2 linked regions of the Mus musculus genome follow. The protein of the gene in region 2 purifies or fractionates together with the protein of the main gene of each other region. This does not show direct contact. Links are inferred from orthologs where the notes say so. Each region holds a gene or a part of one and is shown on either strand. Other genes may lie near its edges.

The links.
Region 1: the proteins of Psmc3ip (region 2) and Mnd1 purify together in Homo sapiens (co-immunoprecipitation; 6 studies listed by BioGRID and IntAct, counting the BioPlex papers as one, with this or other methods). This does not show direct contact. The link is inferred for Mus musculus from reciprocal best matches to the Homo sapiens genes PSMC3IP and MND1.

The regions. Positions count from the first base shown.
Region 1 is NC_000069.6:84,151,990-84,158,153, forward strand, and holds the start of Mnd1 (meiotic nuclear division protein 1 homolog), read right to left. Parts: upstream 3,798-6,164; 5' UTR 3,676-3,797; coding exon 3,673-3,675; intron 1-3,672. UniProt on the Homo sapiens protein: Required for proper homologous chromosome pairing and efficient cross-over and intragenic recombination during meiosis.
Region 2 is NC_000077.6:101,091,246-101,097,367, forward strand, and holds Psmc3ip (homologous-pairing protein 2 homolog), read right to left. Parts: upstream 4,191-6,122; 5' UTR 4,132-4,190; coding exon 4,098-4,131; exon of another isoform or gene 4,014-4,097; coding exon 3,913-4,013; intron 3,781-3,912; coding exon 3,691-3,780; intron 2,570-3,690; exon of another isoform or gene 2,548-2,569; coding exon 2,436-2,547; intron 1,764-2,435; coding exon 1,618-1,763; intron 1,533-1,617; coding exon 1,479-1,532; intron 1,347-1,478; coding exon 1,287-1,346; intron 1,212-1,286; coding exon 1,155-1,211; 3' UTR 896-1,154; downstream 1-895. UniProt on the Homo sapiens protein: Plays an important role in meiotic recombination. Stimulates DMC1-mediated strand exchange required for pairing homologous chromosomes during meiosis.

The sequences.
Region 1 (6,164 bases), on a different chromosome or scaffold from region 2:
GATCTTTATATCTGGCCCTAAATATGCTCCTGAACTCCCATCTCATGTAGCTACCTGCCTGCTGGACAGACTTCAAACTCAACAGATCCAAACTGAATTCTTTCTCTCCTACACACACTCCAAACCTGCTATTCGACATCTCAGGTCTCAGATACGCTCTTTACTTATGCCAAAGACCTGGCAGCCATCCTAGGTGCCTTCATCTTTTTCCCAATTACCAAGTTCTGTCAACACTGGTTCCTAACTATTCTCTAATATGTCCTGCCTGGCCAACTCCATTACCTCTGCCTGGATTCAAGCCCTCATTGGCTATCACCTGCGACTGTCCTCAGCTGCCTAAACACACTTTTGTCTCATCCTCTAACAGAAGTGGACTGTGCAGCTCCTTAAAACCTCTGATGGTTCCAATCCTCATATCAAGCATCCTAATAGGATGTAGAAGGCCCTCTATCACCTGACCCCAACCTACTATTTAAAGTAGATCCCACCCCCAAATTTACCATAACAAGGTGAAAAACTATGTAATTTGGGTGATGGTGGTGATGATGATGATAAAATTATTCCTCTACCTAAAAAAATTTCTCCTCTGCACACTCAATACTCTGAAAGTTCCCCTGAAGCATAATTTGTGCATTCTCTCCACCAGCTTCCCTCTGCTGAGCTCACAGGCTGAGTGTGTGTTCCCAAGACACATTTGCATTGTATCATTTACTGCACTCTCTCAGCAGACTGAGAAAATTCAGAATATCCACTTTCCTTTGCCTTCTTAGGACTTAGCAAGCTGGTTAGATAGAGTTGACATAGAAGCCAGCCCTCAACTTCAGGACCACAACCAGTAAAACTGCCAACTCTAAGCTGCTCAAGCTTCAAAGCCCACAACACTCCTAATTATACAACCCAGGGTGAGTTAAGTAGCAGGAAAGCCCACGGCCATCATCTTGCTTGCAGAGAGAAAGCAAAATGCTCTCTCCAAGAGGGTACCCAGGCTCCAGGAAGCTCCGAAGAACTGCGGTCTAAACCTCAGGTTCAGAGCTAGAATCCACGAGGGTTCTATAAGCCTTCCCACACTGCTCTCTTACAGTAGCTGAGCCAATCATGAAGATCACACCCAGCAAGACTCCTCAGCTAAGCCTCCCTCACCAGTGAGAGCAAGCTACCATATATATACTCACCTAAGAATTTCAGAAAGGCTACTGCCTCGGGCACCCTGTGTAAACTACACTGCAGTGCTAGTGACGGACCTGGGTGTGTACATTTAAAAAGTATCCTCCACTGTTTAACTTGCTTTTCTCACTAGATTACCAAGGACATCAGGGGTTCTGTGAAAGAAATGGAAATCTCTTTAGGGTACAGTGCCTTTGCCCTAAATGGTTCCAGGGACTTGGGCCTGACAGGAGCAGTGAGGGAATGAAGGAAAAGCAGAGCAGAAAGCTGGGATTGGGTGGTCTGGGCTCTTGGATGGAAAACCTGCAGCACTGCAGCTCAGTACGTGCATTGTAAAGTTGAACAGAGAGGCAGGGTACTTCTTACAGTGGGGCCTTACATACAGATAAACATGGAGGCAGGGTTATTACATACATCTGAACACAGAGGCAGGTTTAACTAATCTTGGTAACCAAGGAGCAGTCTCTCTAGGGGAGTGAGTGGTCTTCAGGCCATAAACGTGCGCAAGGGAGCAAAGCTAGTGAACATTTTCCACACAGACTGTCAAAACTCGCACTCCTCTTCTGGGGGAAACATAGCCACCTCTCTAAGCCTGGAGCTGGGGGGGGGGGGGTGTCTCTGATGAGGCCATGCATGTCAACAACACAGGTTCACTGGGGTCTTCACTCATTCAAGGCTTGCTCAGCTCCCTACATTAGGACTTAATCATGTGGCTAAATCAGGAGAAAACAGAGCCCACATCTGGGGTGACAAATCCTAATATTTTGGTATTATAAACAGTTTCTGGAAAGTTCTTTACAATCCCCCAGAGGCAAGCAACAAGGAGACTCTAATGTCCCGGGGAGCTCAGTTTCGGAACGCTCTTACTACCACAATATAAACATCATATAAACGCAGCTGAATTGGAGCATGACTTCCAGCATGATTTATCCCTGTGCCTTTTAGGAGTTCTTACTAATCACAGTTGGAAACATCCAAGGTCAGATTTAAAACAACTAATGTAAAATGGACATCATACTGACATTAGAGACTTCAGCAAGAAAGAAAAAGAACGCCAGGCGGTGGTGGCACACGCCTTTAATCCCAGCACTAGGGAGGCAGAGGCAGGCGGATCTGAGTTCAAAGCCAGCCTGGTCTACAGAGTGAGTTCCAGGACAGCCAGAGCTATACAGAGAAACCCTGTCTCGAAAAAACCAAAAAAAAAAAAAAAAAAAAAAAAAGAAAAGAAAAAGAAAAGAAAAAGAAAAGAAAGTCCTCAAAACTGGGGAGGGGTATTTCCTTGTGGTAAAACACAGATGCCTTCAGATTATGAAGGAGACGCAAAGCCATCTGGGGATTACAGGCCTACGTTTGTAATTGTTTACCTGCCAAAGCAAGCCAAATCGAAATAGTAATTCACATTCGGAAAGAGGTCAAAAGTTTAACTTTGACCAGACTAACAGTGAACTTTTTCCTGCTCATATATAAAACTAATAGCAATACCTGCGTGAAGAGTTAAGAGCCATTAAATCCCTTTGGCAGTAGGCAACTGCCCTATAAAGAGGGTTAAATAAGAGGGTGAGGCCGGCACATCAATAATTCCTAGTTCCTTTTAGTCGGGTACTTAAATTCTACAAAGAGAAACATGATAACACCAAACACTGGTAACACTGTTGTTTTGAATCTGGTCCTGGGCTCCTTGGGCCATTGCATGCCCAGGTGGCCCGTCTGTTAGTTTAACCACAAAGAAGCCGTTATCAGTTATAATTACAGCTGGGCAATTTTTTTTTTTTCAAATAAATGCCCAACGACCTGATCCTTGTCCACCCTGTGTGACGACCAAAATTAACTAAATTAAGATATTAAAATCTGGGGTCACTCTAGCGACTCGTTGATACTCTGTCGCCAAAAGTGGAAAGAATGACACAAAACTTTGAAGGTAGTTGAAAAAAAAAAACGATCCAAAGGGCAGAGAGTCATTAAGTCCGAATAGACAACGGCGATTGGTAGTAAACCAGGATTGGCCCGCAGAGAGCAGGGTGGGGTGGGGGGTGGGGGAGGCTGGGGTGGGGGGTGGGGCGTCCTACCCTGCCCTTAAAGGCGGGGGTGCGGGGTGGGGTGGGGGTGTCACTGCCATGATCTAAAGGCGGAGTGATCTGGGCGGCTCCTGTTAGCATACTAAGTACAGTGGTGGGGTGCAGCTGAAAAAGGGGAGCGCCGTGCCAAGCAAGTAAAAGGCCCCGGGTTCTAATTCCAGGAGAACCGAAGGGCACTGAACACTTCAGTGGCCAACTCCGCAGCGCGTGCGCCCTGGGGTTCTCGGTCGGGAGCCGCGGATCGGTCCAACTTGCGGGGCTTCTGGATTCGGTTCTAGAACGCTCCGGTTCGGAACCAGGGCGGCGCAGGCCGCCATCAGGGCTCGGGCGCAGCAGTGGGCGCGGGGCCAACCTCACAAGGCCTGGCCAGGCACAACCCCTGCTGCCGCGGCCCCGAAGCCCAGAGGTGCGCGCGTCGGAGCCTCGCTCTTACCATGCTGCGCGAGGCGGCCTCCCTGTTTGAGTCTGGCGCCAACAACCGCGTGGGGTGGGAAGGACCGGAGGAAGTGCAGGGGAGATGCAACGACCCCTGGCGGCCCTGGTAGGACTGCGGGACCCGAGGGAGGAGCCGAGCCTGGGCGGGGCTTGAGAAGATGGGCAGGGCGGTGAGGGGCGCGGCCTGAAATAATGGGCAGGTCCAGTAGGGGAGGAGCCTGAGATGGGCAGGGCCGGACTGAGACCAGATGGACCAGTCTGGGTTGGGCAGCCTGTAGGCAGAAAGGAAAAGTTGGGGCCTGGCGTGGGAGCTGGAGCAGGGAAGGCTTCTGTTCCCTTCCCGTGCCTCTGGGGTTGCAGAGTTGCTTACTACTTAAGTGTTCAATGTAGCTTTTAGTTTTCTTTTTAAAAGGCAACTTTTGAGTCTTCGCTTTTAAGTGTGTTCTTTTAGCTTAAAAAAAAAAATATGGGGCTTTGGCTGCAAGAAACGAGTACATTTAGAAAAGAAATTCTTTTTCTATTTTATTTTATTTTTGTCTTATTTAATTTTATTATTTGGCTTTTTTGGGACAAGGTTTCTCCGTGTAGCCTTGGCTGCCCTGGAGCTCTCTCTGTAAACCAAGCTGGCCTCGAACTCAGTGATTTGCTTGCTGCTGCTCCCTAAATGCTGGGATTAAAGGCGAGCACCAACCTCTAGCCTTAAAAAGTCCTCTGATACAGAGCGGTGAGAGTGTACAGAGTAGTGCAGGTGTTCTGCATTACAAATGAAACGTAAATATTCTAGTGCTGCTGACTGTCAGACCTTAATAAAGAGTATGTGGGAGCTTTCTAAATTATTTCTTGCAACTACTAGTGAATCTGTCTCTCAAAGTTTCACTAAAACCTTTATTTTATAAGATAGGATAAACGTGATTAGCAAAAATCATCCAAAGCATTTACAAAGGAGAGCAATAGTCGGGGATGGGGGTGAGTATGTATCCAAACCTGCTTGCCATGCTCATACCCTGACAACAGGCATATAGCAGAGATGTTCCTGTCAATTATGTGACACAGAGTTTTCATCACATCCACTTTATTAACGCTTTTCTAGAGTTCTTAATTTGCTCTTTATCACAGTTACTTTTTTAAGTTTTTTTTTCAATCCTAGGTTTTCAGGACAGGGCTTCCTGACAGCAAGTCTCTCTCTCTCTCTCTCTCTCTCTCTCTCTCTCTCTCTCTCTCTCTCTCTCTCTCTCCCTTCCCCCTCCTCCTCTTCCTATGTTATTATTATTATTACAATAAAAATAAGTTTATCCAATCAAGTAACAACTATACAAATGCAAGCAATTTTAGTCATTTTCTTTTTGGTCAACCTATATTAGACCTGAAATCTTTACTGAAAGTTCCCAGGTGATGGTGAAGTGTGGTTGGTTGCTCATCTATGCACATAATTTATGTGTTTTAAAGACTGAGGTCAAAGCACAGAGTCAGTCAAATACTTGAGCAAAAAGTCAACCAATTAGAGCTTCTGTTGTACGGTGAACAGACCAGCTGAGAAGTAAAATGAGCTGTGTCAGTCCCTAGAGGCGTGTGGGCTTATGGAAAGAAACAATCTGAGTGCTGTGTGCTCAGCAGGGTGGGTTAGCCGGGGAACCTTGTCTCTAGAAGGCAAGCAGTTTGCTTTATAATCATCTCGCAAATACCTTTTAAATCCATGCTTTAAAGGAACTGGAATCATTCCTAGCTACTTAAAATACAAACTCTTATGAATGAGCCACAAACATCTTTCCCCAACCTTTCAGACTGTGAGCTCTGAGTCTTGTATGCCGTGGGAGGGAATAGCTGAACAGTTAACTACTTTAAAAGCAAGAGTTTCATCTGCAGAAGATGAGAGGTATCATCTTGTCAAAGATGGGGAACCTTCAGAGCTAACTAGCAGGCTACAATCTGGCAGTCTGTCATATTTCAGCCAAACAGGCCCCAGCCAGTTCTCAGACGGAGTGATGTTTCCTTTCTCTTCTCAGTGGTGTTCTTGTCCCCTATGTGGGTGGGTCTGATTTTGTTCCCGATCATTCTGACAGCTAGCATGCCCACACACTTACTCTTGTTTACCTGGTGTCCCCAATCCCCAGGATGTCACCTGTCAATGATGGCTTCCAACCACTCAGCAGCTGGTGGTGCTGGAAGAATGTTGCCATGCTAGTGGAACAGTGGCTGGGGGGACTGGGACCCCAGTGACTCCAGAGTCTACTAGGCTTCTCCCACTCTAGCTTCTAGCACCCCTAGTAGTCTAGAATCTCCTGGAAGCAAGATCCAGGGTCTCTTTGACTCTACTTCCCCAGGGCTGCGGTCACAAACACACCACCATGTCCAACACTTCATATACATTTTCGGGATGGAATTCAGGTCTTCACACCAACAAAGCAAGCCCTTTACTGAGCTGTAAGTGGTGGAGTGAATAGGTATGGCTCCCATCAACCCTGTGACTGAATGCTTGGCCCATAGGGAGTT
Region 2 (6,122 bases):
CTGGCCTGCAACACCTCACACCGGTCAGCTGGTTTCTACTTGGTGTTTGGTTTTCCCAACCCCACTTCAGCTTCGGTGGGGTTGAGTGTTTTGTGAAAGCTTCTGAATAATTTATTATATTGTCCACAATGTTGAACCTACCCAACCTTCCCCTTTCTAGGAAAAGCCTCTAGGACAAGAGTCTGTTCAGGGAGCCTCACAGAACCCTGAGCCCCTCAGCCTTTTCTCTACCCACTGGGTTCCTGCTCACAATCTATATACATAATTTGGAAATCGTTTGCCTCTGCTTGGTCTCTTGGGCAACACTTGGCTCAAGTTTGGGTATTTTGGCAGTTCTTAAGTTAGAAAAAAGGAAAAGAAATAGCCCTATGGCCATGAAGGGTAAAAGGCCACCTTGTGCCTAGGCTAGGGCTGTGTGGTCAATACTAAGTAAGGCCAGGGTATTCTAGCCAGCTCAGGGTAGGGCTGCCTGACCCTGCTACCCTCATGTTCTGCTGCCCACTTCAGCTGCTGTAGGTGCTACAGGAAACAGCGTCCCATCAGCTCTTGCCCTGTCTTCCCAAAGGCAAAGGCAGCATTACATATTTGAATTTATCTTCTAAATACCCACAGTGCATTTTTGTTATATGCAGTTTCCCAAACTTCTTAGCAGACCTCCAAAGCAGCCCCAGCCTCTTCTGCATAATGTGTGTATCTGCCCCACCAGTGTGTTGTCTCCATTTCTCCTGGGGCCTGGGGATAGAGTTAGGTGGGACAGGAGATCCTCAAGTCTTCTGGGGGTAGGCCAGGGCGATCCCTTGGGAGTCTCAAATGTTGGTGTATGGCACCCTTTCTGTACTCTTATCCCATGTTTCCTACTGCCTTCCCCAGGTTTGATATCTGGGAGGTTTGATCATCCAGAGGAAATTAAGTATTTTTATATCAAATTATATTACAATAAATATTACAAATACTTTCTTTTAGGATTGTTTTAAGTCCTTGTTGAGGCCTGTACAAAACGGACATGACCGTCCTTTCTGATCACCAGCCTCTATCTAACACTATGGCTTTGTGCTCCGTCCACTGCTCAAAGGTGGAGAACAGCAAGAATAAAAAGGCCACTAAGTAAGGTGGCCAGCGCAGGACGCTCTGTTCCCACCTCCACCAAGGGCCCCTCAGGGGTCGGGGAGCAAAACATTATGATCTTCATCTGTCTCTATTCCAACTTCCTCCTGTGGGGCAAAGAAAGTAATGAAGGAGTCCTTTGGGCAAAGATTCCAGGGGAGCAAAAGAGAAGAATCACTTACAAAGAACTGCTTCTTGCTCTTGGGGTAGCCTTCAAGGATCGCATCACACAGCTCTGTGGTCTGACAAGAAACAAAGCCCCTCCTTATGAGGTGAGCAGCGGCAGTACAAGGCGCTGCCTGCCGGCAGGATCATTCCACACCAACTTCCCCGGTGACTGTCCCTTCCACAAGCACCCTGGGGTTCCCACTCACCATCCTCTTCCGCTTCCTCCACTCTTTACAGTACTTCTGTCTGTCTCTGTACACCTGAAAGGAAGGAGTGTGCTTGTCTGAGCTCCTTGTGTCTGTTCACTGCAGACCTGCACAGGCAGCCTGCAGCCTCCCCACTCACCTTCTCCTTCTCTTCTGGAGTGACATGGTTGGTAGCTGCTTTGATGTTCTTCAGTCTCTCTGTGTATTGAGCACACTCCTTCTTTAACTCCTGAATCTCTTTCTGCATCTCAGGAGTGGTCAGCGCACTTGTTAATTCCTTCAGCTCTGAAAACACATGTCCTCAAGAGTCACTTGGGACGAGTGAAGAAGGGATCCTGCCTTGCCCAGCAGGCGCGTCCCAGAGGTGGGAGGTCAACTTGCGTCTTGCTCTGGGATCTCTCTAGAATAGGACCCCACACTCTGGAAAAGCTCAAGAAAAGGCTTAGAGCACCATCACTCTGTTTCCTATTTTTCTTTCCTGCTCCATCTAAAAGCAACAGTGCCTTGTAAGGCTAAGCCGAGTGCTGTACAGATAATTAAAGGAATGGGAATAATAGATGCAGTGTGATCAAAGGGCCAGGGCTTGTCTTGCTCTGTTGTACTCAGAAGCCATAGCTAAGTCAGTCTGTCTGTCTGTCAGTCTTTCTTTCCTTCTTTCTCTTTCTCTCTCTCTCTTTCTTTTCTTTCTTTTTTTCCCGCTTTTCAATACAGGATTTCTCTGTATAGCCCTGGCTGTCCTGGAACTCACTTTGTAGACCAGGCTGGCCTTGAACTCAGAAATCCACCTGCCTCTGCCTCCGCCTCCCGAGTGCTGGGATTAAAGGCGTGCGCTACCACGCCCGGCTTCTGTGTTTCTTTCAATGCAACATCATAGGCACCTGGCAAAGGGGTCTTAGCTGCAGTCAAGGAACCATTCTGTTAGCAATTTATGACCTCCAAACCACGGCCCAGTCTTACCGGCCTCCATGTGTCGGCAGCTCTGCTGTAAGCTCTGCACCTTGGCAGTGAGGGCCACGATACTGGCATCCAGGCCGTGGAGGTCCGCATCACTCACTGTGTCAAACTGGTTCTGCCAGCCAAGAGAAATATAGCTGATTCCATGAGGCACAGAGAGAAAAATACACATCAGGGGAGGCGGCATTCAAATATGGAAGCACCAGTAGGTGACCCCTAAACCCAACAGTGGGAGAGGATGCTGGGGCTAGTGGTACAGGCTCCTCACTCCAGCAACCTGGAAGGCTGAGGCAGGGGGACTATCTGTACATTAATTAAGTGGCTGGGCATACAGCTCAATGGCAAAGTAGAGCAGAATAAGTGAGACCAAATGCTTTAGAAAGTCTAAAAATACAGTGGAGCTCTTGAGCCATCTTGCCAGCCTCAATCTGCATTTAGATAGATCATTCAGGATACAACATCCAAGATTAAACCTTAATACATCATTTTAGACAGGCGGGTCTGACTGAGAGCAGTGATGACACGTTAGATTTAACAACTGCAAAATAAATAAATAAATAAAATTGAGCTAGCCTGGGCCACGTAGTGAGGGCTAATCTCAAAAAAGAGGGTGGATGGGGGTAATCAGATATAATTGACAAATAGCCACACATATCAGGTGTATAAATAAGAGAGACAAAGACTTACATTCTAATCTCTGGGTTGAGAAGAGAGGTTTCCTGACAGAAAAATGCTAGAAAGCCAATTAGGGGGCAGAGAGTAAGCATTCAACATTGGCCATATCGATGCTGGTACTCAATATTATCTGGATAATAATTATCCAGAGAGAAGTCTGGGTAGGAGAATGTAAATTTGATGTGTTTGGGGTAGTGGGGCAGAGGAAGAGGAAAAATGATTTGGCAGGAAACGATAGCAGAAACGAGACTAGGAGTTGTGAGTCAGGGTCTTCCTTTGTTCATAGCTCAAATGAACACTGATGAAGGCAGCGTGCAGCGTACAACTGACTTAAGAGTATCTGAAGCTCTTTCATACCACTGATTAGATTATTTTGTGAGGTGCCTCAACACTTTTTTTTTTTCCCCGAAACAGGTTTCTCTGTGTAGCCCTGGCTGTCCTCGAACTGAGAAATCCACCTGCCTCTGCCTCCCAAGTGCTGGAATTAAAGGCGTGCGCCACCACTGCCCGGCATGCCTCAACACACGAAATGCTGAGATTCACTCAGACAAGCTCTCAGGTGAGTGTTAATCTGAGTTCTCACCTGATCGGCAAAATAAATTTTCTGCTTGCCGTAGGTCTTCTCTTTGATCTTGCCTTCCTGGGCCAGCTGATCCAGCGCCTTCACTACCGCCTAGCAGAGGAGAGGGTGAAACAATTAGCGCGACCCCAGACGGGGGAGATTTCTGTTGTGACAAGGAAGGCAGGACCCAAGGCTAACAAGGGAGTCCAGCGGGGAGGGAGCCCCCGCAAAGGGGGTTCTCACCGCCTTGCCCAGTCCATGTTCCTTCTGTAGGTTTCCGAACACGTCCTGGGCGCTGTAGGGCCGGTTTTGTTCTTGCAGGTACCTCAGGATGATCCCGGGGGCTGCGGGAGACGAGGTAGGATATGGGGGTCACCTCCGACCCCCTCTCCTATTCCCCTCCCGGGTCTTGCGGGCTTTGCCGTTACCTCCAGCCGCAGCCTCGGCCCGGCTTTTACTCATGGCCTTTCCCGCCACCAAACTCGAGAGCTGGACTGGTCGGTTGCTCCGGGAAACGCCTCCTTCCGGTGAGGAGGCGGGACCTTAACGCTGATTGGCTAAGGAAGAAGCCTGCCGGAAGAGTACCCGGACCTTCCGGGACCCCGTAGCCCTAGTAGCGGCTGTCAAGAAGTCGCAGTCCCCGGCCTTAGTGACAGGTCAGCGGCCGCCTCCTGGGCCCGCAGTGCTGCCTGTGGTGAGCGGTCCTTTCTATAAGCCGCCAGACCCTGTTAGGCCGAGTTTGAGCACTCGTGACCTTGAGCTAAACCCGCGTGGTGTGGGAGCCGGGTCATCTACCACGCCGCTCAAGGGTGCACAGAGCTAGTCCTCCACAGGAGTGGGACTAGTTTTCTCACGTATAAAGGACCTGTAGGTACTTTTGTCAGAGGGTGGCTGTGAACGCCAAGGACACCAACGATTTTCGTGTCGCATGTAGGGGGCGCTCGACACCTAGTGTCATTTGAACGCCCAAGAAAGACGGTTAGGAATGGGGGCTACTCAAGCCACAAAGCTTGAAGTCTCCAGTTATGAGCTGCCACACCTGGCAGGTGCTTTCCATTCCTGACCACAGTGGCCAGTCCGGAGGAGCCTGAAATAAATATTTCTAGTTTCTGAGGTCTGCTGACGGTCAAAGAGCAGCTGTCCTTGCAGCTCAGTGGAAGGGCACAGTATTAATTTTTCAGTCCTTCAACCTAAAACTTCATTAAGCCATTATTCAGAGCCCGGCGAGGTGGCGCACGCCTTTAATCCCAGCACTTGGGAGGCAGAGGCAGGCGGATTTCTGAGTTCGAGGCCAGCCTGGTCTACAGAGTGAGTTCCAGGACAGTCAGGGTTACACAGAGAAACCCTGTCTAAAAAAACAAACAAAAAGATAAATCTAAAAGAGAAAAAAAATAACAATTGACAAATGCCCGCAAGGTATTAGTTATATTTATGTCTTGGTTGTAGGGGGGAGACGTGGCCTCAAGAGGGAAAAACAGAAAGGGCAGGAGGGTCCCTGACATCCACCTGGGCTTCCTCTTCTGAGGATCACCACACCAGATTAGCTATTATCAGATTAATGAGAAGACTTATCAAGGAAGTACACAACGAAACAGCAGTCTCTTAAAAGATTGTTCTCATACAAGATTTATTCCCCTGCACCCCCCCACCCAGCCCAATTCACAGTGGAGGACTTGGGAGATTCAGAGCAGGTTCCACTGGTACAAGAAAAGACCTGGATTTGCTTGCTCCCCTTCCCTCCCTCTTCCTCTTGCCAACTCCCAAAGCATGAAGCTACACACACTCATGCAAACACGCAAAACCCCAAGCCTTTCCCTCACCTCCCTTTTTTTGTTCTTTTCCACATCATCGAGTTCACCTGTAAGACATCTACCTGGCTCTAAGGAAAGAGATGTCCAAAGTATTTGAGAACCCTAAAGTGGGGAGATGCCATTATTATGCCTAACTTTCACACTCACTGACTATGAAACAGGCACCTGCCATTCCTCTTCTCACTGTTATTCACTCCCTGGCCTCTATCTTGTCCATCAACCAAGAGCAAAAGTGTTAGCACAACCCCCAACCTGCAGCACATAAAAATGGGCTCTGTCCAACATCCCTCACCCAAACACAAAAGTGCTGGGGGAGTGGTCCCTGAGGATCAGCAAAGGTTAATGCAAGAGGGAAAGAGGATAGAAGAATTTGGCTTGAGCTCTGATTTGGGAGACAGAGAGGCAGTATGCTGGCACAGGTTGAGAACCAATGATCATTTAAGGGGTTTTCACATGATTTGATTCGGGGCTGCAGAACACCTACCCTTGAGAATGGTCTCTGCTGATTACCAACATCCTTACTAACTGGGCTCATCCTTACAGGAGTTAGGAAGTGGTATGGTAAGAAGAGCTGGTGGCTCTTGGGATGAACGCCATGGCCATTTGTAAAGTGCTACTTTGCTATCCCCTGTGTAATTAGTG